Linked DNA regions of Saccharomyces cerevisiae S288C. The protein of the gene in region 1 interacts with the protein of each later gene in a biochemical or structural test. Each region holds a gene or a part of one and is shown on either strand. Other genes may lie near its edges.

What was found.
Region 2: the proteins of EFT1 (region 1) and CNS1 form a complex in vitro, tested with the Saccharomyces cerevisiae proteins (one study listed by BioGRID).
Region 3: of the proteins of EFT1 (region 1) and EFM2, one has a biochemical effect on the other in vitro, tested with the Saccharomyces cerevisiae proteins (one study listed by BioGRID).
Region 4: of the proteins of EFT1 (region 1) and EFM3, one has a biochemical effect on the other in vitro, tested with the Saccharomyces cerevisiae proteins (2 studies listed by BioGRID).

The regions. Positions count from the first base shown.
Region 1 is NC_001147.6:573,553-582,754, forward strand, and holds EFT1 (elongation factor 2), read left to right. Parts: upstream 1-1,545; coding exon 1,546-4,074; downstream 4,075-9,202. Other genes in the region: retromer subunit VPS17, read left to right, coding at 1-1,278; GTPase-activating protein BAG7, read left to right, coding at 5,012-6,241; isocitrate dehydrogenase (NAD(+)) IDH2, read left to right, coding at 6,698-7,807; SIA1 (Sia1p), read right to left, coding at 8,261-9,202. UniProt on the Saccharomyces cerevisiae protein: Catalyzes the GTP-dependent ribosomal translocation step during translation elongation.
Region 2 is NC_001134.8:545,446-553,331, forward strand, and holds CNS1 (HSP70/90 family co-chaperone CNS1), read left to right. Parts: upstream 1-4,325; coding exon 4,326-5,483; downstream 5,484-7,886. Other genes in the region: APD1 (Apd1p), read left to right, coding at 1-533; U4/U6-U5 snRNP complex subunit SPP381, read left to right, coding at 931-1,806; RIB7 (2,5-diamino-6-(ribosylamino)-4(3H)-pyrimidinone 5'-phosphate reductase), read left to right, coding at 2,015-2,749; DNA-directed RNA polymerase core subunit RPB5, read right to left, coding at 2,917-3,564; SLI15 (Sli15p), read right to left, coding at 5,659-7,755. UniProt on the Saccharomyces cerevisiae protein: Co-chaperone that binds to the molecular chaperones Hsp90 (HSC82 and HSP82) and Hsp70 (SSA1). Stimulates SSA1 ATPase activity, but not Hsp90 ATPase activity. Involved in only a subset of Hsp90 functions.
Region 3 is NC_001134.8:741,065-749,162, forward strand, and holds EFM2 (S-adenosylmethionine-dependent methyltransferase), read left to right. Parts: upstream 1-3,787; coding exon 3,788-5,047; downstream 5,048-8,098. Other genes in the region: mitochondrial 54S ribosomal protein mL54 MRPL37, read left to right, coding at 235-552; SDH8 (Sdh8p), read right to left, coding at 1,096-1,512; BIT2 (Bit2p), read right to left, coding at 1,697-3,334; HSM3 (Hsm3p), read right to left, coding at 5,297-6,739; UBX7 (Ubx7p), read right to left, coding at 6,997-8,098. UniProt on the Saccharomyces cerevisiae protein: S-adenosyl-L-methionine-dependent protein-lysine N-methyltransferase that mono- and dimethylates elongation factor 2 (EFT1/EFT2) at 'Lys-613' and methylates elongation factor 3A (YEF3).
Region 4 is NC_001142.9:658,872-666,572, reverse strand, and holds EFM3 (protein-lysine N-methyltransferase), read left to right. Parts: upstream 1-1,553; coding exon 1,554-2,573; downstream 2,574-7,701. Other genes in the region: STR2 (cystathionine gamma-synthase), read left to right, coding at 1-1,355; YJR128W (uncharacterized protein), read right to left, coding at 3,293-3,652; RSF2 (Rsf2p), read left to right, coding at 3,514-7,656. UniProt on the Saccharomyces cerevisiae protein: S-adenosyl-L-methionine-dependent protein-lysine N-methyltransferase that mono-, di- and trimethylates elongation factor 2 (EFT1/EFT2) at 'Lys-509'.

The DNA.
Region 1 (9,202 bases):
AATCCGACTATTATATTTGATTGCTCCACAAATTTGCCAACATTTCGCAAACAACAATACAAGAATGTCAAAAAATCATACGAAGAATTCCACCAATTGTTCAAATATCTGAATGTTGCCATTCAGGAATCTTTTGTTCCTACTCTTCCCTCTGCGTATACTACATTCGGAATTAATAGCGAAGAAGATAGGATGAAAGTAACGCGAAATTTCCAACTTTGGTTTAACAGGCTATCGCAAGACCCCTTAATTATTCGGAATGAAGAAGTGGCCTTTTTCATTGAAAGTGACTTTAATACGTACACACCCATCAACAAGTCCAAATCACTCGCATCTGGGTTGAAAAGAAAAACATTGAAACAATTAGCACCTCCATATGATGAAATCACAGAATTAGCAGAATTCCGGCCATTAGTCAAGTCTATATATGTTGTTTCTCAGAGCTTGCAAGAAAAACTGCTAAGAGTTTCCAGAAATCGCAAGATGATGGTTCAAGAAGAAAATGCCTTCGGCCAGGATTTCGTTAATCTAGATGAGCACAATAAACTTTACAGAAGATACGGTAAAATATTGACTGCTGTGGGTGATATTGATAGCATTATAGCAACCATGGACATGGCGACATTGTACGATGGTTTAGAGTGGATTGTCAGAGATGCTTATGCCGTGAAGGAAGCATTGACCAACAGGCATTTTATCATGCGAAATCTAGTACAGGCACAGCAGAATTCAAAGGCGAAACAGGAACAAGCACGCAGGTTCCGGTCAAGAAGAGATATTAACCCTATGAAAATCGATGAAGCACTACGTCAGTTGAAAGCTGCAGCTAAAAACGAACAAGTTTTGACCCTTAAGCTTCAACGAATCACGTCCAACATGATTATCGAGAGAAAACAGTGGATTAGCTGGTATGAAGAATGGATAAGAAGCTCGATCAAAGAATTTACACTAAGAAAGATAGAGTATGAAAGAAAGAAGCTGACGTTACTAGAACGAGTACGTTCTGATATCAGAAAAGCTGATGAAAACGGAGGTTTGTCACGTCTAGGACGCCATGCTGTCTCAAACAACAACTCCGATACTTCTCAAACCCTTAAAGGGGACAGTTGGACGGGAGAGAGCAACCGCAAAAGTCAAATCCCCATCAACAAGATCGCTCATACCGAATTTGATGATGAACTATTCACTGAAGACGATGGGTACAACTCTCAGGACTCAGACACTACATCACTGAATGCGCGCCATGCTGCTTCACTTTTGGGCATGTCCACTAAATAATACGTATATAAAGTAGAAAATTCATACCTTTGAACAAGGTGATCTTTTTCCTTTAGTTGATATTAATCCCGGGTAAACTTCCGTGTTGCACTTTTAAAATTTTTTTTCAAATCTCACCTAGAAAATTTTTTTTTGCCATGAGCCTTCCTTTAATTAATCTCAATTGCATACTACTGTTGTATTAAACGCTTCACTGGTTTTTTTACTTAACCCCATTTGCCAGAAAGCCAGACCTACGCACCCAAGAATTTTTAATAACAGATAAAAATGGTTGCTTTCACTGTTGACCAAATGCGTTCTTTAATGGACAAAGTTACCAATGTGCGTAACATGTCCGTTATTGCTCACGTCGATCATGGTAAGTCCACTTTGACCGATTCCTTGGTCCAAAGAGCCGGTATTATTTCCGCTGCTAAGGCTGGTGAAGCTCGTTTCACCGATACCAGAAAGGATGAACAAGAAAGAGGTATCACTATCAAGTCTACCGCTATTTCTCTATACTCTGAAATGTCTGACGAAGATGTCAAGGAAATCAAGCAAAAGACCGACGGTAACTCCTTCTTGATCAACTTGATCGACTCTCCAGGTCACGTTGACTTCTCCTCTGAAGTTACTGCCGCTTTACGTGTCACTGACGGTGCTTTGGTTGTCGTCGACACCATTGAAGGTGTCTGTGTCCAAACCGAAACTGTTTTGAGACAAGCTTTGGGTGAAAGAATCAAGCCTGTTGTTGTTATCAACAAGGTCGACAGAGCTTTGTTGGAATTGCAAGTTTCTAAGGAAGATTTATACCAAACCTTTGCCAGAACTGTTGAATCCGTTAACGTCATCGTTTCCACCTACGCCGATGAAGTTTTGGGTGATGTCCAAGTTTACCCAGCCAGAGGTACCGTTGCCTTCGGTTCCGGTTTGCACGGTTGGGCTTTCACTATCCGTCAATTCGCCACCAGATATGCTAAGAAATTCGGTGTCGACAAGGCCAAGATGATGGACAGATTATGGGGTGACTCTTTCTTCAACCCAAAGACCAAGAAGTGGACCAACAAGGACACTGATGCTGAAGGTAAGCCATTGGAAAGAGCTTTCAACATGTTCATCTTGGACCCAATCTTCAGATTATTCACTGCTATCATGAACTTCAAGAAAGACGAAATTCCAGTTTTGCTAGAAAAGTTGGAAATTGTCTTGAAGGGTGACGAAAAGGACTTGGAAGGTAAGGCCTTGTTGAAGGTTGTTATGAGAAAGTTCTTGCCAGCTGCCGATGCCTTATTGGAAATGATTGTCTTGCACTTGCCATCTCCAGTCACTGCTCAAGCCTACAGAGCTGAACAATTATACGAAGGTCCAGCTGACGATGCCAACTGTATTGCTATCAAGAACTGTGATCCAAAGGCTGATTTGATGTTGTACGTCTCCAAGATGGTGCCAACCTCTGATAAGGGTAGATTCTACGCCTTCGGTAGAGTTTTTGCCGGTACTGTTAAGTCCGGTCAAAAGGTCAGAATCCAAGGTCCAAACTACGTTCCAGGTAAGAAGGACGATTTGTTCATCAAGGCCATTCAAAGAGTTGTTTTGATGATGGGTAGATTTGTCGAACCAATCGATGACTGTCCAGCCGGTAACATTATCGGTTTAGTCGGTATCGATCAATTCTTGTTGAAGACTGGTACTTTGACCACCAGTGAAACTGCTCACAACATGAAGGTCATGAAATTCTCTGTCTCTCCAGTTGTGCAAGTCGCTGTCGAAGTCAAGAACGCTAACGACTTACCAAAATTGGTCGAAGGTTTGAAGAGATTGTCCAAGTCTGATCCATGTGTCTTGACCTATATGTCTGAATCCGGTGAACATATCGTTGCTGGTACCGGTGAATTGCATTTGGAAATTTGTTTGCAAGATTTGGAACACGACCACGCTGGTGTTCCATTGAAGATCTCCCCACCAGTTGTCGCTTACAGAGAAACTGTTGAAAGTGAATCTTCTCAAACTGCTTTGTCCAAGTCTCCAAACAAGCATAACAGAATCTACTTGAAGGCTGAACCAATTGACGAAGAAGTCTCTTTGGCTATTGAAAACGGTATCATCAACCCAAGAGATGATTTCAAGGCCAGAGCTAGAATCATGGCTGACGACTACGGTTGGGATGTCACCGATGCCAGAAAGATCTGGTGTTTCGGTCCAGACGGTAACGGTCCAAACTTGGTTATTGACCAAACTAAGGCTGTCCAATACTTGCACGAAATCAAGGATTCCGTTGTTGCTGCTTTCCAATGGGCTACCAAGGAAGGTCCAATTTTCGGTGAAGAAATGAGATCTGTCAGAGTTAACATTTTGGATGTTACTTTACATGCCGATGCTATCCACAGAGGTGGTGGTCAAATCATCCCAACCATGAGAAGAGCTACTTACGCCGGTTTCTTGTTGGCTGATCCAAAGATCCAAGAACCAGTTTTCTTGGTCGAAATTCAATGTCCAGAACAAGCCGTCGGTGGTATCTACTCCGTCTTAAACAAGAAGAGAGGTCAAGTCGTTTCTGAAGAACAAAGACCAGGTACTCCATTGTTTACCGTCAAGGCCTACTTGCCAGTTAACGAATCTTTCGGTTTCACTGGTGAATTGAGACAAGCTACCGGTGGTCAAGCTTTCCCACAAATGGTTTTCGACCATTGGTCCACTTTAGGTTCTGACCCATTGGACCCAACCTCTAAGGCTGGTGAAATTGTTCTTGCTGCTCGTAAGAGACACGGTATGAAGGAAGAAGTTCCAGGCTGGCAAGAATATTACGACAAATTGTAAGAAGTCTAAATGAGAAAAGGTGGTTCTGTAAGAGCAAACCTTACCGCCTTATGATCTTTTTCATTTATTCTCTGCTTTAAAATTTTGTCGTAATAAAAATAGTATGGTAATAGACTTATATATTATTTTCTTACACATTTTTGTCATATAGTTATATTCCGAATGTTTACAATCGAACCCATCATAAAAATGGACCTTTTCGTATTACCGCCCCCTTTGTAGAGGGGGAGGAACGGCAACTTCTTGACTATTACGACGTATCACCACCCCGTTAGATATACTATGGAAAAAACTATTAAAAACCATTATAATTCATTAATGACATCGGTCCTGAGGTAGTATTACGTATAACTTACCTGGCTCTTGGTCATAGCTTTTTATCCGTTTACGAAAAAAGGAGAAGAAGATTGGGCTTCCGCGGCTATTGTTTGGTTTATACCCCGCCGTATGTTGGTGCTTCTATAATTAGAGCGAAATAGGAAATACAAAAAATCCTTGGAGGGGAGGACCAGCCTCATCGGGCTAAAACTCCCTCAAAACCGGAGGGGCAACCAAAGTATATATCTCATTATGGCCGATACTTCTAGAGGCGCACTAACAGAAGCACCTCAGCCCCTGCAGGTGAAAGAAAGAGGTAATTAATTTTCCGGTTACTTACTTTCTCTCGCTATTGGGGAAAGCGTTGGTTCGAGGCGTTGAGGTCGAAGACAATCATTGTTTTCTTCTTATTTAAGTACATCTTTAGAAGAAAATTACACAACTGGAATGAGTAAATCAATACTTGCTTTGTGTTCCCATTGTTAGATACTCTTGTTTTAGCATGTGATAGCAGTATATAATATAACCTGCAAAATAATCGAAACGCGTACACAGGAAAGAGTACATAAATAACCATAGTATATTTCTGGACATATCTTATTACACAACATAAAATAGAATGTTTAACATGAATCTACTTTCTACACCTTCTTCTGAAGAGGGTTCTCCACAGAATAGGTCATCTTCAATGTCTTCTGTTGAGGGCAAGAAGGATAGGGACACCTTTACTAATTTGCAAAACGAATTTGATGGTAAAGTATTTGGCGTCTCACTCGAGGAATCACTGAAAGTTGCTCAAGAGGAAGTAATTATCCAAAAAAGTACAAATGAAATTGGTTCCATACCGGTGGTAATAGCAAAAAGTGGGAAATACCTAAAAGAGAATGCATTAGACACAACAGGAATTTTCCGTATTGCGGGAAGCAATAAACGTGTTAGAGAGCTACAAGCTGTTTTCTCTAAACCGCCCGATTATGGTCGTAAATTTGAAGGATGGTGTGATTTCAATGTTCATGACATTGCAACTTTATTAAAAAGATATTTGAACTCATTAAGTGAGCCTTTGGTTCCCCTAGCATTATACGACATTTTTAGAAATCCAATATTAGAAAACCCAAAAATAAATGAGCACAAAGAACAAATCATTAAGGACTACGAAGATATTTATATGCTCTTACCACAACAAAATCGCCATTTAATACTTTATTTAGCCGCGCTCTTGAATTTATTTGCAAGAAATGAAAAGAAGAATTTAATGTCAGCAAGCAATTTAGCGGCCATCGTACAACCCTCACTTTTGTCTCATCCCAAGGATGAAATGTGCCCGAAAGAGTATGAGGCTTCCAGAACTGTCATCGAATTCCTCATACTACACGCTTCAGATATAATACCGAATACGGAAAAAGCGAATAAGGACACCATGCCGCATGCAGGAACAGTAGCAAAGTTTAACAACATTACCGTTCCTGAAATGGCTATTGACTCCGATGAAGAAGATTTTGTGCACCCTTCAATAGATGACCATATGCTTCCAAGGTCACGTGCACTTTCTGACTCCAACAATTTTACCATACATCATCATCATCATCATCATCATGCACTGTTTCCTAGCCCAATAGATTTTGATAACAATGGGCTTTCTGTACCGAGATCCTTTAAAGGTAGAACATTGAGTGCAGAGTCCCTTTCTCCCAGACTTAGTAAATTACTTGGGAACGTTGGAAACAGCAGCAATACTGGCATCAAAGACCCTACAGAAAGAGTTCCTAGAGGTGAACATAAAACCAAACACAAACAACGACAGTCATGGTTGAGAAGACTCACTAGCCCTTCTAGAACGCAGCCTTAGCTTCCTAAGCACTGTGATCTGCTAGTCGATTCCGAGGTTCGGCGAAGAAATTGTCGTTGCCCCGCCAGGGGCCTTTTGCGATACTCGGCGCTTCTTTCAGCAATCTCGGTCCGCATCTCGGCAAGGGGGGGCATGACACGGGCCGCTCTGGTTGGTCAGTTCCTATTTTCTGTAACTTCCATTGTTTGGTTAAAGAATATATAAGTTATTGAAAAGCTCATAGGTCCCTTATTATAGGCCCTAAGGTTTTAGTTTCTCATCATAGTCATATCAGAAAAACCCTCCTTCTAAAGTTTTCCTCTTTTCTTATTTCTTTTTCATTTATTATTCATATTTATATAAATATATATTCCAAGTGCATGACATTATTGGATACACTTTTTCTGAACCTGAATTACCTTGGTAGATAATAAGATACAGATCGGGAACGAACAACAATTATAATATTTTTTAATAATGTTGAGAAATACTTTTTTTAGAAACACCTCGAGGAGGTTTTTGGCTACTGTAAAGCAACCTTCAATCGGAAGATATACCGGCAAACCTAACCCTTCTACCGGCAAATACACGGTCTCGTTCATTGAAGGTGATGGTATCGGACCTGAAATTTCCAAGTCTGTAAAGAAAATCTTTAGTGCAGCAAACGTCCCCATAGAATGGGAATCTTGTGATGTTAGCCCTATCTTTGTCAACGGATTAACGACCATTCCTGACCCTGCCGTACAATCTATCACAAAAAACCTGGTTGCACTAAAAGGTCCACTAGCTACACCTATTGGTAAAGGTCACAGATCTTTGAATTTGACATTGAGAAAAACATTTGGGTTATTTGCCAACGTTCGTCCCGCAAAGTCTATTGAAGGTTTTAAGACCACTTACGAAAACGTTGATTTAGTTCTTATCAGAGAGAATACCGAAGGTGAATATTCTGGTATCGAACACATAGTTTGCCCTGGCGTTGTTCAATCTATTAAACTGATCACAAGAGATGCCTCTGAGCGAGTCATTAGATACGCTTTTGAATATGCAAGAGCCATCGGCAGACCAAGAGTTATTGTGGTACATAAATCTACTATCCAGAGATTAGCTGATGGTTTATTCGTTAATGTTGCCAAAGAACTATCCAAAGAGTATCCTGACCTTACTTTAGAAACTGAACTTATTGATAACAGTGTGTTAAAGGTGGTCACCAACCCATCTGCTTACACAGACGCTGTTTCTGTTTGTCCAAATCTATACGGTGATATCTTGTCCGACTTGAACTCTGGTTTGAGCGCCGGTTCTTTAGGTTTAACTCCATCTGCCAATATTGGTCATAAAATCTCGATCTTTGAAGCTGTCCATGGCTCTGCCCCTGATATTGCCGGTCAAGATAAAGCGAATCCAACTGCCCTACTTTTATCTTCAGTAATGATGTTAAACCACATGGGTCTAACGAATCATGCTGACCAAATTCAAAATGCAGTATTGTCTACTATCGCATCAGGTCCAGAAAACAGAACAGGTGACTTGGCTGGTACTGCTACTACTTCATCATTCACTGAAGCAGTCATCAAGAGATTATAAAAGTCCTATTCTTTTCCCTCTCAGGTTTTTTCACGCCTTGAAAACAAATGACTATCCGTTTAATATAATGATTTCTGAAAGATTATGAAGTAAAAAAAAGCAAAATGCTTAGATATATAATATATACATACAATAAAAATTCCGTATCTACTCCAAACTTCTATGGCTTTGTCCTCAATGTGTTCTGATGTTTATTTAATAGCCTGAAGTTTTTATTAAGTATGTATACTTTTCGATATTTATTCTTTTAATAATGCTACAGGAGACCATAAGTGATAACTCAAAATGTCCCTCAGTGGACTTGTAAACCAAAAAAAAAAAAAAAGAAAAAGAATTAAATATATTATGTGTAAAAAGAAAACACCACCGTGTGTTATGTATATTTTGTTTATGTCTATCTATCATCTATCCTGCTGGCAGTCAATGTTCACCTTACAAAATTAATCATTGAAATTATTGCTTCCCCTTATAGATGTACTGATAATCGTAAACCTCGTCAACAAGATTGCTATTCCTCTTCCACGAAGTTATTTCGTCCAAAATATCATCCAAGTTAAATAATCTAACGGTTGGATATATACCTTGGATTCTCGGCAAGCCTATACCAGCGGACCCACCGTAACATAACCACATCTCATTTTTTGACTGTAAGCAACAGTCATTATTATGTTCATGTCCGCAACTGACACCCTTTATATTCCAAAGACTCAGGATATCAAGGAAGCTTTTGTAATGTTTGCCATTGATCGTCATTGAAACTTGTCCTCTAGACCTTGGCGTATCTACTGTTAAGGTAGACCTCTCATTATACTGCCCAATAATAGGAAATAAACCATGAGGCCTATATTCCGATAATGGAAAATATTGAAATGCCAAGCCAAAGTCTATTTTCCCAATCAGGTCGTTATAATCTTGTAGGAAATTATTGACGGGCGCAAATGAATCAAAGACGAAAAATAAAGCCTCTGATGGGTTTGTTTCGTCTTCGGTATCAATGTCTCTTTCCAAAAGAGTATTCTTCGTGAGCTTCTTTTTAAATGAGACTTCTATGGCCATATGACCCTCTTCTGATGCAACGTTGTTAAATGTGTAAGGTAAATTCCTGATAAAGTCTCTAATTTGTGCCGATGTGGCCAAATTGGATTCGTCAGAAACACCCAATGAAATTGCGTAGGGTATTTTATTAGAAATCATTGGTTGGACAACTTTCATAATGCACGTTTGATAGTCGATAGTATTATGTGAGTCTAACAAATCACCTGTGATCACAACTAAATCAGGGTTTTCTGATGCGAGTACCCTATCAATAAAATTTACTGTTTTTATTTCATTGATTACGGTCATGCTATTATCCGTACATTTGAAATGAAAATCAGTTATTTGGAGAATTTTGAA
Region 2 (7,886 bases), on another chromosome or scaffold:
TTGATGTTATGCGGGGAACCAAGAATAATGTACTTATTTTGCCTTACTTCATTTGGCTGAACGACCTTAGATCAGATGACGTCGAAGCAACGCTGGATGGTTTAGTTCCTGACTTATTAGACGAGAATATTTCAAGAGAGAAATTGCTAGAAACACGACCAAATGTTGCCGTTGCACGTGAACGTGCATTTGTATTTATATGTTCACATACTACGAGGGATAAACGATGCGGGATTACGGCACCCTATTTAAAGAAAGTTTTTGACAGTAAATTACAGGAACATGGGCTGTATAGGGACAATTCGGATTACAGGGCAGAGGGTGTCAAAATTGCATTTGTTAATCATGTTGGTGGTCACAAATTTGCTGCAAATGTTCAAATTTATTTACGAAATCCAAATACCTTAATTTGGTTGGGAAGAGTAACTCCAACCATAGTTCCTTCTATTGTCGAACATCTGATTGTTCCTGAAGAACCAACGTTGCCGTTTCCCGAAAAAGTTCGCTGTATTAAGAAATATCAAAGCTGGTAAAGGTTGGCCAGCAAAATACAATCTTTTGACGCCATAAAATTTGCCATCAGAGTAGCTTTTAAATGTACATAGTTCTAAAGCACGCATATATATTTATAACGCTAAGATGATAATGAAAAGTTTTATTTGCAAAAGGGATCCTGTATTTCAACTTTCCATACATGAAAGATTCTTTGGCCATTTTCTTAATCCATTTCATATTTTCATCTGATTTTTTTTCTGTTTTCCACTTGCTGCTCATTATTTCATTTTATAATTTTTGCAAACATGCAATATTTCGCCATATATTGAGAAAAGCAATTCTTCGTTGTTCCCAGTAAAGAAAGAACAAATGCAGATTTCTACCGCCACCGCTAGATTAAGAATTTTTTTTGGTTACTGATTTGAATCACATACGATGAGTTTTAGACATTTCAAGAGGAGACTTGACACAAGCTCAGCAGATGAAAGCTCTTCGGCGGATGAAGAGCATCCAGACCAAAACGTATCTCTAACAGAAAAATCAGCCTCATTAAGCCATAGTGATTTGGGCGGCGAAATTTTAAATGGTACAGGAAAGAACCGCACCCCCAATGATGGCCAAGAATCAAATGAAAGTGATGGGAGTCCCGAAAGTGATGAGAGTCCCGAAAGTGAAGAAAGTAGCGACAACAGTGATTCGAGCGATAGTGACGATATGAGACCTTTACCGAGGCCATTATTTATGAAGAAAAAGGCCAATAATTTGCAGAAAGCTACCAAGATAGATCAACCCTGGAATGCCCAAGATGACGCACGAGTTCTGCAAACAAAGAAGGAAAATATGATAAAAAACATCGACAAAGCTAATCAAGTGGCAAAGAACTACGAAACGATGAAGCTGAGACTTAACACCAATTACAGCACCAACGAAGAATTGATCAAGCAGTGCTTGCTCTTAGATGATAACGATGAAGTCGATTCAGAAAAGGAGAGACAGAAATGGTTTGAAAGGCAGAACGAACGAAAGCAAAAGCATAGAAGAATACAACTTGCGAAACAAAGAGAATCAGAAGAATATGAGGCAAAACGATTTGAAGCGATGCAAAAAGGCAAAGATGGGAATACCAAATACGACGTTATCTTGGACAAGGAGAAAGAGAAACTTGATCACAAAAAACAAAGATCGGCTGAAAAAGTAGAAAAATCTCACAATAACAACCGTTACAAGATTACAAGAACTAAAAATGTTGAATTTGGTGACCTAGGCAAGAATAGTAGAGATTACGAAGAAACTGAATATTCGGTTATATAACACCGCATCACACACACAAACCCACATGCCTTTCAGTTAGTTGATGTCGGGAAAATCCCGAAACAGAAAAAAGAGGCAAAGATGAAGATATCAAATTTTTTCGCAGAACCATTACATCTGGCTTTGGATACGATGAAACAATCTAGCAGAAATACAGTACCAACCTATTGGTAGCTTCTTTGTATTACTATCAACATTTTTAGAAGATATGTCTTTGACACCACTGTGTGAAGATTTACCACAATTTCTGCAAAACTATCTACCGAATGCTGGTCAAACGGAAAATACCATTGTGCCCTTTGTCACACTAACTTATGCTCAATCGCTCGACGCGAGAGTATCTAGGGGCCCTGGAGTGAGGACTACAATTTCACATCCCGAGACCAAAACAATGACGCATTATTTGAGACATCATCACGATGGAATACTCGTAGGAAGTGGAACAGTGCTAGCTGATAATCCTGGATTGAATTGTAAATGGGGTCCCGATCCGGCTGCAAATTCCCCAAGGCCAATAATAATAGATACAAAGCAAAAGTGGCGATTTGATGGTTCAAAAATGCAAGAACTTTTTATTAAACGACAGGGTAAGCCGCCAATCGTTGTTGTCACAAGTGAGCCCATTATAAAAGAACAACATGTAGACTACGCAATTTGTCCAATAAATGATACTACGAAATTGGTCGATTGGAAGAAATTGTTTGAGATATTAAAAGAAGAATTCAATATAAGGTCAGTAATGGTTGAAGGAGGTGCCAATGTAATAAATCAGTTGTTGCTGAGGAGCGATATTGTCAACAGTCTTATAATAACTATTGGATCAACATTTCTGGGTAGCTCAGGCACCGAAGTTAGCCCACCCCAAACAGTAAATTTAAAGGATATGTCATGGTGGAAGGGCATTACCGATGTGGTGCTTTGTGCGAGACTGGCCGATGACTAATAGTGTTAGAACTCCACCTTCTGTGTAATTTCTTTCTGAAATTAGTGAAAAAAACGCGCCTTTCAAATTTTCATACTAGTGATTGGTTTATTGCAGATTATTTATTTCTAATTGTACATATTCTTGTTATTTTATATTATATGAAAGGGGTAAATCCAAATGCCACTCTACATACAGATTCTGTAACTGGCATAACGACCAGAGGTTTCACTTTTTCTTATGATTTTAACTACTTCGCCTCTTTTCAATCCCAAGTATAAGGCTACAGGATCAGCTCTTTGAATTCTTGGCAATTGGGATTCCTTCAATCTATACCTTTTTAAAAGCTCTCTTTTCTCATCACTACTCAATCTGATATGCTTTGGAACCAATTCGTGGTGAGTAATATTAACCACTAAGGCAGCTTCATTAAAAGTTTCAATGGTGGCTGGTGGTATAGAAGGCACCAATTTCATTGCACTTGGTGTAATATTATTTTGGTAAACAAAGATACCTGTTTGGAAATTTTTTTCTTGAATATGTATAACAAAAGTCTTCATTGTCTTTACACCAACGGAAGGCTCATCACAAAATTCTACCCATAAGGAGCCCATGTCTGGGAACTTTGATATAGATTCTTCTGTTGGATTTGCCTGGAAGGACATCATTTTACGTTGTGGTCTGCCCATGGAGTCACAATACTTGGCCTTGAAATCTTCCAATGGCAATTCGACTTCCTCTTGAGTGATAAAATAACCCCTGTCCTTAACCATTTCTTTTACTGTTCTGAATGCTCTCCATAATCTTGAGATGTTTCTTTCATTTTCTTGGTCCATTGTCTTAGCTTATTAGTAATATCCACCTGCGCACAAATTTTGTAAATCCCCTACTAATTTAATTTGAATTCAAATTGGCTCGTGATCTGTTGACCCTTGTTAGCAACGTTTGTAATCTTCCTCACCGAATTGCGTCGTTTTGAATAATATATATGATTGAAAATTTTTCAAGAGAAAAGAAAAATTTTTCCTTCCGCGGTCAGCCATTGCTAAAAAAAGGCCTCCGTTAGGAGTCGAATAGAGGACAACAACAATACATTGCCACTTTAATTTTAAATGCTTGCATATTAACTAGCGATCAGATGCTCTGCTCTATATAAAATAAATTATTGATACGGTTTCTAGTCTCGGTTGATGATAAGAGTACGTTAATCCACCTACCGAGCATTACCAAGATATCTGGCACTTTATATGTAGAGAGTCTGTGTTCTCAAGTTTACTTGTGCGGATAATGAGCTTAAAGACTTAAATACTAAAAGCGTATGCGTTCGTATCTCTGTTTAGGCACCTTGTACAGTTTCACAGAAAACTGTGTAATGTGTGATTATAGTACACAGAACAAAATAACTTCACCTCATCTCTTTCTTAACGCAGTGAGGAAAAAGGTGGAAAAAAAAGAAAGAAAAAAAGAATATGTGTAATTTCCGGCACTTTTCAGAGCGATGAGCTTAAATTCAAAAGCAGCATTGAATTAAAAGTGAGGTCTTGAGCACTACATTCTAGCAAGTAAAAGAAAAGAATAAATTGGTTTTGCATCTAGAATGAGCTCCGTTAACGCAAATGGAGGATATACCAAACCACAAAAATATGTGCCAGGGCCAGGTGATCCTGAACTTCCACCCCAACTATCCGAATTTAAAGATAAAACATCGGATGAAATCTTGAAAGAAATGAACAGAATGCCTTTTTTCATGACCAAGTTGGATGAAACAGACGGTGCAGGTGGTGAAAACGTGGAGTTAGAAGCTTTAAAGGCATTAGCTTATGAAGGCGAACCACACGAAATCGCTGAAAATTTCAAGAAGCAAGGTAACGAACTATACAAAGCAAAAAGATTCAAGGATGCAAGGGAACTTTACTCAAAGGGCTTGGCTGTAGAATGCGAAGATAAATCAATAAATGAGTCACTATATGCCAATAGAGCGGCATGTGAGTTAGAGCTGAAAAATTACAGGAGGTGTATCGAGGACTGCAGTAAAGCTCTAACTATTAACCCCAAGAATGTTAAGTGCTACTATCGTACAAGCAAGGCTTTTTTCCAATTAAACAAGTTGGAGGAGGCCAAATCAGCCGCAACATTTGCCAATCAAAGGATTGACCCAGAGAACAAATCAATTTTGAATATGTTATCAGTGATTGATAGAAAAGAACAAGAATTGAAAGCAAAAGAAGAAAAACAGCAAAGAGAAGCTCAGGAACGTGAAAACAAGAAAATTATGTTAGAGAGCGCAATGACGCTGAGAAACATAACTAACATCAAAACTCACTCTCCAGTAGAGTTACTTAATGAGGGTAAAATAAGGCTAGAAGACCCAATGGATTTTGAATCTCAATTGATCTATCCCGCATTAATTATGTACCCCACGCAAGATGAATTTGATTTTGTAGGTGAAGTAAGTGAGTTAACTACTGTGCAAGAACTTGTTGACCTAGTTTTGGAAGGGCCGCAAGAACGCTTCAAAAAAGAAGGTAAGGAAAACTTCACACCAAAGAAAGTGTTGGTGTTCATGGAAACAAAGGCAGGTGGTTTGATTAAAGCTGGTAAGAAACTGACATTTCACGATATCTTGAAGAAAGAGTCGCCAGATGTACCATTGTTCGATAACGCTTTGAAAATATATATTGTGCCAAAGGTAGAAAGTGAAGGGTGGATTTCCAAGTGGGATAAGCAAAAAGCCTTAGAAAGAAGATCTGTGTGAAGTGTCAAATAGTTAAAAATATGTAACGCAAAGTTGTAGATAGAAATAACAAAGCAAGAAGGAAAAGTAAAGAAAGTGAACGATATACGTAATGCAGGGGGAATACCAGAGTATTTAAAGTGTACTTGATTTAATGTTAACCAGTTTGAATTTTTCTTTTCTGGGGTAATCGAATTCAAGACCTTTTGGGCACAATTTGACGCGGTTTCAACCTGTTTAGCCTAGGATTTGGGAAAATTTCATCGGTGTGCAAAGGCGGAATTGGTCCAAAGATAGTTTGTGGATTTATATCTTGCTGTCTTATCAATTGCTCTTGCAAATACGGGGATTTAGCCCATGCCGCTAAAGTTACGCTAGCCTCATCTTCAGAATCAGTATTTATCTCTGGTAAAGAATCATTGACAGAGGCTATCTTTGGGGTCACATTTCCGATTATTTCTCGATGGTCAACTGTATTTATTGTGGCCAATATATTGTCGGTACTAAATGCAGTATTTTTGTTGATGGTATCTCGCACATGATTATCGAAAGGAGCCAAAGATTCTTTTAGACGTATGTCCTTGTAGTCATTACTAAAGCTTGTTTGCTTTTTTAGATCTTGTTCCAAATGCGACATCCTTTTTTGTTTCTCTTGTTTACGCCGATGATGTTCCTGTTGAGACCTCATAATTCCTGATAACCTTTTATCAAACTTTTTTTTTAAGTCATCTCGTTCTGCCTCTGCTGGTGGAAGTAATTGAAGGTTTGTAAGCCGATAATTTTTGGATTTACGAGACTCTGGCTTGGAGATGTCAGCAATATTCGGAGAAAGTTTTCTTAATGTTTTCTCTTTAATTTTCAAACGATGTGGCGTTTGCGACGTTGTTAAATTTTTATTTTTATTAGGCGAAATAGACGCTTTTGTTGGTCTCAAATAACCTCTTACAGGGCTTTGGTAATAATTTTTAACTTCTTTAGATGGCGAGCTTGAATCGACACTTATTTTTGTTGGAGAAATACTGTGCGGTCTTGAACCAGTTTTATGAACATCACTAGAGTGTTTGGACTTCTTTTTCTGTTCTGCAATGATTGCTAGCTTTTTGTGTGTCGTTAGCTTCAAAGAAGTCTTATCAAACCTCGGAATAGAGGATTTTCGAGAGTTTTTTCCTTTGGGTGAATTATTTTTGGTTATTTTATTTTTTACTGAGAATATATCTCTTAACGCTTCTTGCATATCAGTATCCGTGGAGTTTATTGACTTAAACTTTTGAGAAACTTTTTTCATGGGGGAGCCTGTTAAATCGATTGATGAAGAGGAGTATTTGTGACCAACGTTTCCACGGGAAATTTTGTTTTCAAATGATTTTGTTGGAATAGATGATAGCCTATCGAAAACACTGGATGCTTTTGTAGATCCCGCGGTATCACTGTTTTCCACAGCTCTTATAGCAGGACTATTTATCGTAGATTTTTTTTTAAATGCGATTGGTGATTCCTTTACTGTTCGTACTTTTGGTATTGATCCTGAAGATTTTGTTGGTGGAATGTGTTGAATAATAAGAGGATCTTTATTCGGCAGTGGAACAAACATATTCGACCTTCTTTGAGATCTCGCTATCCCAGAATTCGGTGGTGGTTTCACCTTTACTGATTCAGCTTTCTTTAAAGCTTGAAGTATAGGTTCATTCTCCATTTCTTCCTTAGCCGCCCATGTTTGATTATCGAAGCGTTTTGTATTAATCGGAGACTCCGAAGTCTTGGAGGATTCTCTTAGAACCTTTTCAACTTTGTAAGGTGACCATGGTGAGGATTTTTCGCTTTCATTGGCGTCGACTTTAACGCTATTCAATGGCTCAACCGGGCTTTTATTGGTATCATGTATACTAAATCTATTCATTCCTTCGGTGACTTCCTTCCTGCGGAGTGATTTAGGCGTGATACTTTTATCGTTATGTAATCCATTTCTGGGTGTCTTAGTAACGTCTTTTGCGGCATCATTCTGGGAGTTAGAAAGTTCATATTCTCCTTTCATTTTAGGAAATTCGACATCCATTTTGTTATGCGTATTTTCGGGGCTAATTAAAGACTCTTCCATCTTTTTGTCTTCATACTTGAGTGTATTCATATAAACATTATTTCTTAACCATTCACTACTTTCGTACAATCGTTGATTTATTTCTGAATGTGCATCTGTTGTTAGATTATTTAGATCATCGAGGGTTTCTATGATTGAACGGGTAGAGCCTGGCTTCCTTTGAGTTTTCTTCCTAGCTGCTTTGATTGCCCAGTCCATTGTTTAAATCTTCGGGCTCTTTCAAAGTCCGTCAGTTGAGGAGATACTTTGAAACGTTTTGTTTGTATCATTGGCAATACTTGAAACGAGTTTTTGTTTGTTTTCTTTTTTTAGTTAATTCGCGAAATTTA
Region 3 (8,098 bases), on another chromosome or scaffold:
CTGCTTCACCATTTGTACATTAGATAATTCTTCACTACCCCCTCTATAGCAATGTTATAGTCATTGAATCATGCTTTGAAATGCCTGTTCTAATATTCTCTTCATATAATAAATGCGTGATGCCGGGTATTTGTGCGCCCTTGTTTGGCGCAAAAATCTCGAAAGTGAAAAAACTAATAGGCTTCTTAAAGCAGTTATATCTACAGCAAAGGAAATAGCTGCTGAAGACTGAAGATGTTGGCGCGCAGTTTGGGTTACAGGTTGATATCGACCAGTCGTATCTTATATAATAAACCCACGGTTAAGTCAGTGGTGTCGTCGTGTCCTGCGGGAACATCGCTTAACTTAAACATATGGAAGAGCGGTAAAGACGCAGTGGCACTCGAGGACAAGGAGTATCCAAATTGGTTATGGAGCGTATTGGATAGTGATCACGTTGTCGAACATGCGGCTGAGGACCCAGAGGGACAGGCTCTCTTAAAGAGAAGAAAGAACATAAGGAAGGCGAACAGGCAGCGAATCAAGCAAAACAATTTCTTGAGCCAACTTTAAGCCTCCGTTAATAAGATCAAGTTTGGTATCCTTGTAAATAAATATGTGTGTACGTGGTTAAATAGTATGTTTTTAGCATAATGCCTTATTTTGTACCAACAAAAACATGATAGTTCCCACATATCTTTTCGCCTGGGGAATACCAAGTGGGACAAACAAAACGTTAAAAATTAAATCCTTTAGAGTACCACAAATTCGCAAGAAACAAGATAGTTGAATTGTCAATCATGGCTAAGATAAGTATGAATGTGCCCAGTGTAAAGATCAAAAACATGCCAAAGGTAAGGTTAAAAAGCACTAGAAAGACTGTCTCCACGAAAAACATGCGAAATAGGTTCAATTCATACTCGAAAAGAATTCGAAGGACGCTCACAAGAAAGAGATTTTAGGCAAACATGAAACGTATGCATTTCATAACACACACATATATATATTATATATTCAAAATAAAGCATAACAACATACATATTGAAAAGTAAATTGAACGTTACGCAGTTTCATCAAATAAGAATAGTATTATTAAAAATTGGCCGGACCAAATATCTAGAAATCCGTTACTCTTCCGTTAAACGAATAATCGCCGTGTCTCAACGGGTCCTGCTTGGGACCCCCAACTTCACCAGTCTTGGGGTTAACATCACCTTCGAATTCAGGTATGGTCTTGGAAAATTCAGGCGAGAATGACCCAATATCGTTTTTGGTTAAAAGCGGTGAATTCAAACTCTCCTTTGTACGATCGCCGGTGGCCTGCGCATTATACTGATCTATTGCCTCTTGCGATGTGGCAATCCTCTGAAGTCTTTCGAACTCTTCCTGCTCTTCTCTTGGCAGCTTGGGAGGGCCGGGGATCCTTTCAGTAGTTATTTTTCGGGTGGCCATATTAAATGGTCGTCCACGTAGTAGATTTAAGGCTCCCGTGCGAGGATACCGATAACCTGTGCTTTTGATGGCGCACAACATTAGTTCTTCTTTTTATTATTTGGTTCTTTCTGACTCTTTAGCAAGTTAATATGATCTGCACTTTCCCCATTGGCCCCTTTATAGGGCGGAAAAGAGCATCTGTTTTTCCGGATTCTTGGAACAAGAAAAAGGAAATACACCTATCTATATGCCACTATTGTATATTACTAAATAAAATATTTAATTATATACTCATGCGTATGCCCTCAAGAAGTTCACCAATAATTCTTTGGTTTCTGCTGTTACCTTTTATGGTATTCAGGATCCCAAAACACTGCAGCAGCGTCAGTTTATCTTCCTCTGTGACGCCGTTCTGTTCTTCCTCGCTGAAAATATATCTTTGAAAACTCTTACTGGCACCGTCATTTGTATGTAGGAAGCTTTCGTAATACGGAAGAATGATGGAGTCTCTAAAACACTTTAATAAAAGGACATCAATTGACGGTGCGTACCTTGAAGGTTCAGATAGATATCCGTCAAGCCAGTAGTTACTATTTTTTTGGAAGCTTTTCTCGAAGGGCAGTAACACTGCCATCATGTCGTAGTAAACCTGTTGGTAAAACACCTTCCAGATTATGCCGACTCTTTTCAAAGCCGTATTTACGGTATCCTCATTGGCATAATTGAACACAATCTGGTTCTCTAAAATGTAAAGTGAAGTGGTAATGAATTCCTCGATTTCGGCCAAAAACCTTGAGTGCGTTACGGCAGCCTTGGTTTGTGTTTTCAAAGTGATATAAAATTCCAGCAGCCGGTCAATATCTTCTATTTTTGCTGGCAATTGCCATACCCTCTTGTTTTTAAATAGCTCCACAACTATGCTGCAGTATATACCCCAGATATTCCCCTCCAGAACAAATAACTCCTGTACGGTGAAGCTTTTATAGTTTGCTATCAAGGATGGCAAGTTTTTCAGTAAATCATGTAGTAAAGAAACATTAGTCGCGTCGAAAGCATCATCTTGGATCAGCGATAGAGCTGTATCATTAGGGTTGTTGTTAATGCTAGGGTTAAAGGAATATACAGATTTTCCAGAGTCAATAAGGCCTCCAGTAGAAGTATGGATAAACTGTACGGGTGACCTATGTTTACCATATGAAGAATGCAGAAATTTACTGAATGGGCTGGGAACTACGGGTTCAACGTCGTCTTTACCAATGGAATTATGCGGCTTGTAGGGTAAAAGCTTTTTTGCCATTTTGCTAAAGACATTACTGCCTTTGTTTGAATGAGAATGTCCTGTAGACAGTGAAGATTGTAAACTGTTCACACTCATATTAGATTTCGTATGAAACAATTTAGAGCCACTCCTACTTATGTTGTTACTACTTGTGCCGGTAATAACAGTGCCGTAGTTTTTTGACCCGCTCCTGCTTCGATTTCTCATATTATCTTTTGAATTGGTGAAGATGGACAGTCGCCTTTTATTGCCCCTTGAGTTGGAAGAAAATAAACTATCATTAGACGTGGTGTTCCCCTCCATTCGGTTACTACTTGATGAACCTATTTCGGAGTGACCATCGTTATTCTCCGTGCCTTGGCTGTACTCCTCTTCAATCGAATCCGTCGAGCGCCTTGCATTGGAACCATCATGGAATATAGATTGAAACCCCACCTGTGACCATCTAGGAGCGGCATCATGAGGAGATTTGGATGTTTTTAGATGCACATCTTCGTCGGGATGTGTCAGCGCTTGCGGTACTATATCAGAAGAAACACTATAAACTCTAGCTGGTTTGCGATTAGTTGCTTTTATGTTCGGGTTCGTGACGCTCAGTGAGCCTGAGGTAGCACTTCTTTTACGATTTAGGTCTGTTGCCATTGCTTGACTCTGTAGTTTAAGACTCGCCTAGCCACTTATGCTTATTGTGGTTTGTATTTTTTATTTACTGTCTTCTATCTTTCTCCCTTTAATTTTGACCTTATTTTAAAGCCCGCAAAGATCGCTGAAAAATTGCTAGTAAAGGTCGCATGCAAAATGGATAAAGTGCTCTTGTCAAATTATTTCAACACCTTCATTCGCAGTATAGTGGTATATTGGATTGGGTAAAGGAAAACAGGCGACACCAATATTGGTTTAAGCTAGTAGCGTATGCAGCTCTATCCAGGCATTAAAATTGGTTCACCTATTTCTGATAGTAGTTTTTTTTTTTCCAATCGTAAATTTTTTCTTCAATTTCGCGATGAGCTACAAAATAATAGTAGTGCAATCTGTATATTACTTTTCAAGTATCTAACTCATGCAAGTTAGGAGTTCCATAGCGGATATTTCACTATGTTTGATCCTCTCGATTTGTACACCCCTGATGACATCCAGGTTGAGGCTTTACAGTTCAATCTAGCAGAGAGAGAGCCAAAAGATCCTTGCTCACCGCAACGTGACGAAATATTAACGGCTGTAGATGAAGAAGAGAGTGACGACGATGACACCATTATCGATAATCTGGATCTGCCCTCCGTGAAGTATGCTCCGCCAGAAGTTATCCTTTGTATACTAATACTTCTGAAGCCCGATAGACAAGTAAACTTCAATCAGGAGACAGGGAAGAACAAATCTGTACTGGAGGTTTGCAAGAGTCATGGGCTGGAACCCGATCTGCTGAAAAGACTTTTGACTTGGTATACAGAAGAATGGCCTAACAAGAGGTTAAACTCGTTGGAAAAGATATGCAATAAAATCCCAATGCTGAGATTTACAGTATCCAAAGAACTACTGTTGGGCTACTATACTAGTGTATTGAAAAAATACAATAATAGTTGCGGATTGAATGAGGAAATCATACAAGAACTTCTTAAGGAATTGAGCTCAAGGATATCCGAAAACTGTGGGAGAACGGCCCAACCATCCATAGTAAGATATTTTGAATTAAGAAATCTAAGCACTTCCATACCGCTTCATGAACCCTCTTTAACGGCCGATAATCTTGGTTGGAAAACATGGGGATCATCTTTAATACTTTCACAATTAGTCGTAGATCACCTGGATTACCTACATACCACTAATGTGAACATGTTAGCGAACAGCGACATCAAACAGATTAAAGTATTAGAATTAGGAGCGGGCACTGGTTTAGTAGGACTTTCATGGGCCTTAAAATGGAAAGAACTTTATGGAACTGAAAATATAGAAATCTTCGTGACGGATTTACCCGAGATTGTGACGAATTTGAAGAAAAATGTGTCATTAAATAATTTAGGAGATTTCGTTCAAGCAGAGATATTAGATTGGACTAATCCTCACGATTTTATAGATAAATTTGGACATGAAAATGAATTTGACGTCATATTGATCGCCGACCCGATATATTCGCCTCAGCATCCGGAATGGGTAGTTAACATGATATCGAAGTTTTTGGCGGCATCAGGGACCTGTCACCTAGAAATACCTTTAAGGGCAAAATACGCCAAAGAACGAGAGGTTTTGAAATTATTACTAAAAGAGAGTGATTTAAAAGTAGTTGAAGAACGGCATTCAGAGGGTGTGGATGATTGGGGTGCCGTTAAGTATTTATATAGGCAAATCGTTCGCAATTAGTGGGAAAGAAACGAACGCGCTTAGGCGAATAGTTTTTCTTTATAATAAAAATCATGCATGCTACATAGACATTGAAATGTGAATTATAAGTACTTGCCAGACCTTACATACTGATTTATACAATTTATGGAGAAGAAAACTGAATGGGCCACCTCGCCAAAAGGTTAGTTTTTGATTCAGACAGGAATCAATACTGGTAGTACATTAAACAATCAAGGCCGCCTTTATAGTTGCGCTTATGCAACATAATCATCTGCAATCTGCAATCTTAGTTTCACTGCCTGTGGAATAATTTTTTCCGTTAACTGCTTTGGAGTATTCTCGCAATAAAGGTTCATACCATACACTTAACTTTTCTTCACCTTTGTCCAGTAAATTTCTCAAGGCAGAATTCCTATAATGCACAGTCTCAAGATCTATAATAGCACCTGCGCTCCCATCACCTATCAAGCTGCCCATCACCTTTGGCATCTCATTGAGCAGAAATTTTGAAGTGTATTCGTATCTCGTCAAGGTTTCTACTACTTGCATTTGTTCTAAGTACGGTAGTCTTAAGACAATCTCAGCACTAAACTTGTTTCTTATAGCATTGAAACATTCTTCATCTGCTGAAAGATTTCTCAACATTCCAATGCTGTAGCCACTGACGTGAAAATAGTTTTCGACCACATCTTTATGATATTTTACCAAGTACTGCGGATTAATTAATTCCAACCACTCGGTTATTAATTTTGCTTCGGACCCAATTTTTAAAGAATCTTTGTCCATAGTCTTGAATAAAGAATATTCATCTTCCTCAATTCGTGACACCTCTGCGAATAACTGTAAAAGACAATTTGTAGAAAAGGCCCTGACATCAGGATAGTTCTCCGTGTCTTCAAAAAGTTGAGCAAATACTGGCAGTATTTTTTTTACATGTCTTAAAGCCCAGTATTTATCTTGATTTCGTATTTCCAGCAAAAACTTAGTATAATAATTAACCAATTCGATGAAAACGAGGATATCTTCAACGGATTTCAGTATCTCTTCTTTAGTAAAGCAAAATATGATATCCTTGAACTCAGGACCGCTGATGAATTGAAACTCAATAGTCAAGAAGTCAATTAATCTGACAAAAGAAACCGTTTCCATTCTACCCTTTACGCTCACCAGGTATGGCAAATTATTATCAAATAATCGACGCCTAATCAATTCATCTGTACTCAACCTTTCCAACGCTTTTTCGATTGCTGTAATGAGCTTATCATTCTCCACTTTCTCATCAAATAGAATATCCAATAGAATATCGATGATATTACTGGTCGCGAATAAACCCTTTGGCTGCGAATTCTCAATGACTCTACATGCTGCTACTTTTAATGGATCTATTTCTGACCTAAGGGCCTTCACTAAGTCCTCCGCGCTATAAACTTCTAGAACATCGTCAAAATCAGCCATGGGAACAAGCTTGTCCACAACGTCCAAAAGGTAATCGTAATTCAATGAATCATAGGATACGTTAGACGTCAGAAAACGCTTGATCGTAGCCAGTAGTGGTTTAACATCCATATCTGGAAGGGAGACAACAGTCACAAGATTCAAAGAACATTTCCTTAATAGTGTGTTGATATCTTCAGGCAAGTTATCTTCATTAAGTTCATTTTCTAATTGCGTAAGGAGATTTTCCACGTAATTTGTTTCTTTCTCACTCATTGCTCCTGTTTCGCTGAGTTCTTTTGCGGTGATTATAGTTGTAAACTTGTTTTATTTTTAATCCCGTAATTAAGGTGTTTATATAAACTTACTCTTCAATTTTTCTATATGCATTTGAAACAGAAAAAAAGATATAAAAATACCAGCTATAACAAAAATCCATGTAAATAAAATTACTGTATATTTTTTTATGTAATCTAATCAAAAAAAATTCACGTCTAATACTAGTCATAAATGGAGTTGAAGCCATTAACTACTTATTTTTTATCTTCGTCCTTTTTCTTTTCTAAATGGACATTATTACCATTAAAGGTTGTTGGGTCTTCAGGATCTTCTTGATGATCGTTGTTAACAAATTGGAAAACATTTGGCGAGACAGAACGTGACGTAGTAAGGTTGGTTTCCGATGGGTACCTGGTTCCGCTAGGTGTCAGCATTGGTGATGCATGAGCAGATGATTGAACTGGTTCCCGAACATTGTTGTATTGGAAACAGCTTGACGAAGCAGCTCCAGATAAAGGTGTTGAAGACCTCACTTCGTGACGATTCGGCTTCGATGTTTCCTCACGTTGTGATGTTACTTCAGGATCTTTATCGTTGTGCCACCACGTAGAGAATCCCTTATAAAGACGGCCCAAAAGGCTTGGTCCCTCCATCCCAGTCACAGATAGCCCCGAGTTTTGAGTTTCTAGTGGTTTAAGTAATAATGCAGACCTTGGAGTTAGTTCTAGTGTCTCTAGCGTCTTCAATTCATCAGAATCCTTAAATGTCACTCTGGGAATGCCCCTGTGGAATGAGTACGGGCAGTCTCCATCTGTCCTGTTGACGTCCACCCATTTTCTAACGTCATTTAATGTTTCAGACGAGTTGAACTCATGTTTTAGAGTCTTGCCATCAGTCATCCTGATTTGCAAGACGCATTTGCTGCTGTGCAGTTTTTGTGCGTCTTTTATGTAATCATGAACATCCAATGGCTTATCATCATCAAGGGTTCTGTGATGAGTTTCATCAAGAGCTTTTCTTTCTGCACGGTCTGCCCTAACAAGTCTTATAATTCTTTCTCTTTCCTCCTCAGCCAGCTTTCTTTGTTTCAGTTGTTCACGACGTTGGATCTCTAAGGTAGTCTCAGCAATCCGTTCTCTTGCATTTTTCCTATGGACGTCTCTGGATGACTTTTCTTCTCTAGCCAAACCTGGATTGGTTTCCCTGGACGAACTCTCACCAGCCTTTTTGTCTTTGATGCCTATGCACGCCAGCAACTTCTCCCAATGTCGGTCATCCTCGCCTTGAATAATCAATTCTATCTTTCCAGCACGTATCAAGTATATACTGGGTACAACTACATTAGGAAATACTTGC
Region 4 (7,701 bases), on another chromosome or scaffold:
ATATAGAAACGAGATTTGGGAGAAATTTAAATTTTCTTGCTGCTGATAAAGCCAAATATCTAATACGAAAGAGGATTGCCACAAAAGTTGTTGAAAAAATTGACTCTGAAGGTCTATCGGACCTATTCTCTTTTGAACACTATAACGAGAGCAACGGTCCATTCAATGTTGGCAGTGGAGAGGCTCTGGATGATGATCAGTTGAATTCGGACATACCTGCCGAAACAATTACTTCTATGGGAGAAAGTGGCTCAAACAGTACTTTTGAAAACACAGCTACCGATGACTTGAAGTTTCATGTCAACCCTAATACGGATGTTTACTTATTTCCAAGTGGAATGGCGTCCATTTTCACTGCCCACAGGCTGCTTTTAAACTTCGATGCCAAGCGCTTATCAAGGTCTTCTAGTAGACAAGATAAGTTGATTGGATATGGACCTCCGTTCAAGAAGACCGTCATGTTTGGATTCCCATATACAGATACTCTGAGCATTCTTCGGAAGTTCAATCACACACATTTCTTGGGACAGGGAGATTCAACGTCAATGAACGCTCTGAAAAATATTTTACATTCTGGTGAGCAAATACTGGCGGTATTTATAGAAGCTCCATCGAACCCACTGTTGAAAATGGGAGATTTACAAGAACTGAAAAGGCTATCAGACTTGTATTCATTTTACATAGTGGTCGATGAAACTGTGGGTGGCTTTGTCAATATAGATGTATTACCGTATGCCGATATTGTTTGTAGTTCGCTAACGAAAATCTTCAGCGGCGACTCGAACGTTATTGCAGGATCCTTAGTACTAAATCCTAGAGGAAAGATTTATGAGTTTGCTAGAAAATTTATGAAGACTGAAGACGGATATGAAGATTGCCTATGGTGCGAAGATGCGTTATGCCTGGAAAGAAATTCGAGAGACTTCGTGGAACGTACAATCAAGGTGAATACAAACACTGATATATTGTTAAAAAGGGTGTTATTGCCTCAGGTGGGAAAATTGTTCAAGAAAATATATTACCCCAGTTTAACATCAGAGGATACCAAGCGGAATTATGACAGCGTTATGTCTACAAAAGATGGTGGGTATGGAGGTTTATTTTCACTAACTTTTTTCAATATTGAAGAGGCAAAGAAGTTTTTCAATAATCTGGAATTGTGCAAAGGACCTTCTCTCGGTACGAATTTCACTTTGGCGTGTCCATATGCTATTATTGCCCACTACCAGGAATTAGACGAGGTAGCTCAATATGGTGTCGAAACAAATCTTGTAAGAGTGAGCGTCGGTTTGGAAAATAGCGACGTTTTATGCAATGTTTTTCAGCGTGCCATTGAGAAAGCTTTAGGGGAATAAAGCCAAAATGTTTATATGTATTAGAAAACTCTGTAGAAAATTTTAATGCTGATTGTCCGGACACGACAAACAGCGAAATAAATACTAGCAGTTAGTACATCATCGCAAAAATGATGAAGAATGTATAAGTAAATGAAAAAGGAAAAGAAAGCAGAAAAATCGAGCTAGTAAAACTTGACCCTCCTCGTCAAAGATAACATGAATGAAGATCTATTCTACGATAGATTACATCAGCGGTGCCCTGGAAAATACTTGCTAGAAGAGTTGGAAACAAGCAAATCTAACGATGTCCTGCATGCATCGAGATTTGTTTGTGAGATGGAACTTGTGCAAAAGACGAATGCATATTATTGCAAAACCATAGTCAAGATGCTCTTAGACCACGAATGGATTTTCGCGAAGGCATTCACAATTGTCAACGATGGCGAAGACGAGATAGAGATATATGATTATCTCTATGAGAAGTACATAAAACTATTAAGCACAGGCAAGCCAGACCCGATGATGAAAGACGTCGTGAGGTACAGGTTTGACGAGGACGTAAAGATCAAAATTGAGGAAACACCGAATTTGATCAGTGCGGCCAGTACTACAGGTTTCAGGACATGGGAAGCTGCCTTATACATGGGTGATTTCCTTATTCATAAGCCCTTACAAGAGTTGGCACCGGTACAAGGACAAGACGATGGCAAGAAAAAATTAAATGTTCTTGAGGTCGGCGCTGGCACAGGCATAGTGAGTCTCGTCATTTTACAAAAGTATCACGAGTTCGTAAATAAGATGTACGTCACGGATGGTGATTCGAATCTCGTTGAGACGCAGCTGAAAAGAAATTTTGAATTGAACAATGAAGTGCGTGAGAACGAACCAGACATCAAGTTGCAAAGATTATGGTGGGGCAGCGATAGAGTTCCTGAGGATATAGATTTAGTAGTGGGGGCAGATGTTACGTATGACCCAACTATCCTTCCTGATCTATGCGAGTGTCTGGCCGAATGTCTTGCTTTAGACCGATGCAAACTGTGTCTCCTATCCGCGACAATTAGAAGCGAATCCACTGTCCAACTGTTTTCTCAAGAGTGCAATAAACTCGGGCTAAAATGTACCATAGTCACCAGCACAGAGTACGACGCAAACAACGAGATCCGCGCGATGAAAGCCCTGCAATTCAAACCTTTGATTGCACCCATACGGATCTACAAGATCACGAAACAATAAGATACATGTGCAAGTACAAGTTCAAAAATAAAACATAACTAAAAAAAAAAAGAAAAAAAATATAGTCATCTTCTGACACTCGAGTCTCATTCAGCTAATCAAAACAACTAGCAATCCACTCGAGTTCTTATAAATGACCCGGAAATTGATCTCTCCACATTACGCTTATCACGAATAAGACCGAGTGTTCAAATAAATAGCTCGATCTTCGTACTGTCTAATGCGGTGGATTAGTACTTTAGGACAAAGTTACTTTTTTTCGGAAGGAAACTTCAAAAATAGAATTAACAAATAAGAAGGAAAAGCGAAAAACAAATCTCATTGCCTGTGCTTTCTTTTATACTTTTTTTTTTCGCTCGGAACCTCTTGCTTATACACGGTTTTTTTCCACGGAAACCTCGGTTACCCTTCAATTACTGGAACGTTAGGGCACAATCTAACAAATATATATACTGGCTTACAAGATGTAACAAACTACGAATAGTGGTACGAAGCTTATCACATGCACCATTATCTGTAACTGGGTTGCCGCCAACAGCAGACTCATGGGCTGGTTGAAAAAATCTTGGAAAACAGAGATAAACAGCTCGGCAGATAACATTTCCTGCGACCTTAATGCTGCGTTAGGTGTAATTGTCGCAATTTGCGGCCGGCCATAGTTGTTCGTGCTACAATATATGGAAGAAGCAACTGTTTTTGAATCAACGGTAGTAACGACCTTATATCATCATACACGAAAATACGCACAGACGGGGGTGAACCACTCCAGGGGCAGAGTAGAGTGTACAAGGAAAATTGTGATCTCGCCGCACGGTGCTGCATCGCGGAAATTCTCCGTAGGGCAACGGATAAGGTAACTGCGTATGCGGCATCGACAATAGGTAACTACGCGAGCAACTTCTATTAAGAGAAATAATTTTTGGGAAATGGCCTGTTTCGGATGGAACCGTTCGCATTTGGACGAGGGGCGCCTGCATTATGCATACTAACCGCGGCCGCTCGAATAAATCTGGACAATTTTGTTCCGTGTTGCTGGGCACTTTTCCGTCTGTCTTTCTTTTTCCCGCTTGACCCTGCATATATTAGAAACGAAAACAAAGAAACAAGGACTTCTTGGATTTCCATAGAGTTTTTTTTCTTCGTTAAACATTGCCTCTCTCAACACACGTTTTTCTCGAAGACTCTTGCACCAAAAAGAAACTTTAGGGCGAAGAAGCTAAAAGACATTGGCGATACTAGAATAGATAGGGCAGATAAAGATTTTTTATTAGTGCCGGAGCCAAGTATGTTTGTGAACGGTAATCAATCTAATTTCGCTAAGCCCGCTGGTCAAGGTATTCTGCCCATTCCTAAAAAATCTCGAATTATTAAGACTGATAAGCCAAGACCGTTCTTGTGTCCCACATGCACTAGGGGTTTTGTCAGGCAGGAGCATTTGAAGAGACATCAGCATTCGCATACCCGTGAGAAACCGTATCTTTGTATCTTTTGCGGTAGGTGTTTTGCTCGTAGAGATTTAGTGCTCAGGCATCAGCAAAAACTTCATGCTGCTCTTGTAGGTACGGGGGATCCACGGCGAATGACGCCAGCACCAAATTCGACTTCTTCTTTTGCCTCCAAGCGGCGCCATTCCGTGGCGGCGGATGATCCAACCGACCTTCATATCATTAAAATAGCCGGAAATAAAGAGACTATTCTACCCACCCCGAAGAACCTTGCTGGTAAGACATCTGAAGAATTGAAAGAGGCCGTGGTTGCCTTGGCCAAATCAAATAATGTAGAACTTCCCGTCTCGGCCCCAGTAATGAACGATAAGCGAGAGAAAACTCCTCCTAGTAAGGCAGGCTCCCTAGGATTTCGAGAGTTCAAGTTCAGCACGAAAGGCGTGCCAGTTCACTCTGCATCAAGCGATGCTGTTATCGACAGGGCGAACACTCCCTCTTCCATGCATAAGACGAAAAGACATGCGTCTTTCTCTGCATCCAGTGCAATGACTTACATGTCTAGTAGCAATAGCCCCCACCATTCAATTACCAATTTCGAGCTCGTTGAAGACGCTCCGCATCAAGTCGGCTTTTCTACTCCACAAATGACCGCGAAGCAGCTCATGGAAAGCGTGTCAGAATTGGATTTACCTCCGTTAACCCTGGACGAACCACCGCAAGCTATCAAGTTTAACTTAAATCTATTTAACAATGACCCCTCCGGACAGCAACAACAACAACAACAACAACAGCAAAATTCCACCTCTAGTACCATAGTGAACAGCAACAATGGAAGTACAGTTGCTACACCTGGAGTGTATCTCTTAAGTAGCGGTCCATCTTTAACCGATCTTTTGACAATGAACTCTGCACATGCAGGTGCGGGAGGATACATGTCTAGCCACCATTCGCCATTTGATTTGGGCTGCTTCAGTCATGATAAACCGACAGTTTCTGAATTTAACCTTCCGTCAAGCTTCCCGAATACTATACCGTCTAATTCTACTACGGCTTCTAATAGTTACAGTAATTTGGCAAATCAAACTTATAGGCAAATGAGCAATGAGCAGCCGCTTATGTCACTATCTCCTAAAAACCCACCAACAACTGTTTCAGATTCCTCTTCCACGATCAATTTCAATCCAGGCACAAATAATTTACTGGAACCATCAATGGAGCCCAATGATAAGGATAGTAATATCGATCCTGCTGCCATAGATGACAAGTGGTTATCAGAGTTTATTAACAACTCTGATCCAAAATCTACCTTCAAGATCAACTTCAATCATTTCAATGACATTGGGTTTATTTATTCTCCACCTTCATCAAGGTCATCTATACCAAACAAGTCACCTCCAAACCATTCTGCTACCTCATTAAATCATGAAAAAGCTTCTTTATCACCTCGCTTAAACTTGAGTTTGAATGGAAGCACAGATTTACCAAGTACACCACAAAACCAACTAAAGGAGCCTTCCTATTCTGACCCTATTTCCCATAGTTCTCATAAGAGGCGTCGTGATAGCGTCATGATGGACTACGATCTATCCAATTTTTTCAGCTCAAGGCAATTGGATATTTCCAAGGTATTAAACGGGACAGAGCAAAATAATTCTCATGTGAACGACGATGTTCTCACTTTGTCTTTCCCCGGCGAAACTGATTCTAATGCAACACAGAAACAGCTGCCTGTTCTTACTCCTTCGGATTTGTTATCTCCGTTTTCTGTCCCTTCAGTATCTCAAGTGCTTTTTACCAATGAGCTAAGGAGTATGATGCTAGCCGACAATAATATCGATTCAGGAGCCTTCCCCACAACTAGTCAATTGAACGATTATGTGACTTACTATAAGGAAGAATTCCATCCATTTTTTTCATTTATTCATCTTCCTTCTATCATACCTAATATGGACAGTTATCCCTTGTTATTATCTATCTCCATGGTCGGAGCATTGTATGGGTTTCATTCGACGCATGCAAAAGTGTTAGCTAATGCAGCTAGCACCCAAATTAGGAAAAGCTTGAAAGTTAGTGAGAAAAACCCGGAGACGACAGAGTTATGGGTTATACAGACATTAGTATTGCTAACGTTCTACTGTATTTTCAATAAAAATACAGCCGTGATCAAGGGGATGCATGGTCAGTTGACGACTATTATTCGTCTCTTGAAGGCCTCTCGTTTAAATTTGCCCCTAGAGTCCCTATGCCAGCCGCCTATTGAGAGTGATCATATTATGGAATATGAAAACAGTCCTCATATGTTTTCAAAAATAAGAGAGCAATACAACGCGCCGAATCAAATGAACAAAAACTACCAATATTTTGTATTGGCGCAGTCACGTATCAGGACTTGCCATGCGGTATTACTTATATCTAACTTATTTTCTTCACTGGTAGGTGCTGATTGCTGTTTTCATTCAGTCGATTTAAAATGTGGTGTTCCATGCTATAAAGAAGAATTATATCAGTGCCGAAATTCCGATGAATGGTCGGACCTATTATGTCAATACAAAATAACGTTAGATTCGAAATTTTCGTTGATTGAATTGTCTAATGGTAACGAGGCATATGAAAATTGTTTGAGGTTTCTTTCTACAGGCGATAGTTTTTTTTACGGAAATGCTAGGGTTTCGTTAAGTACATGTCTATCATTGTTGATATCTATCCATGAGAAAATACTTATTGAAAGAAATAACGCAAGGATCAGTAATAACAACACCAATAGCAATAACATTGAGTTGGACGATATTGAGTGGAAGATGACTTCCAGACAACGGATCGATACAATGTTAAAATACTGGGAAAACCTTTATTTGAAAAATGGTGGCATCTTGACACCTACCGAGAATAGCATGTCAACAATAAACGCCAATCCAGCAATGAGGTTAATAATTCCGGTATATTTGTTTGCCAAAATGAGACGGTGTTTGGACCTGGCACATGTTATTGAGAAAATCTGGTTGAAAGATTGGTCCAATATGAATAAAGCTTTGGAGGAAGTTTGCTATGACATGGGTTCATTGAGGGAAGCTACCGAGTATGCACTGAATATGGTGGATGCGTGGACTTCATTTTTTACGTACATTAAACAGGGCAAGCGCAGAATTTTCAATACTCCTGTATTTGCGACCACATGTATGTTCACTGCAGTATTAGTGATTTCGGAATACATGAAATGTGTAGAGGATTGGGCACGCGGGTACAATGCCAACAACCCTAACTCAGCATTATTGGATTTTTCGGACCGTGTCTTATGGCTAAAAGCAGAAAGGATTTTGAGAAGATTACAAATGAACTTGATACCGAAGGAGTGTGATGTGTTGAAATCGTACACTGATTTCTTAAGATGGCAGGACAAGGATGCCCTAGATTTGTCAGCACTAAATGAAGAACAAGCACAAAGGGCCATGGACCCGAATACCGATATAAATGAGACAATTCAACTAATTGTAGCGGCAAGTCTATCCTCCAAATGTTTATATTTGGGTGTTCAAATATTGGGTGATGCGCCAATTTGGCCTATAATATTATCGTTCGCTCATGGTTTGCAATCAAGAGCTATCTATAGTGTTACGAAAAAAAGAAACACTAGAATATAAGTCCGATTTACAAATATATAATGGCGGCCGTCTCTATACTATAGT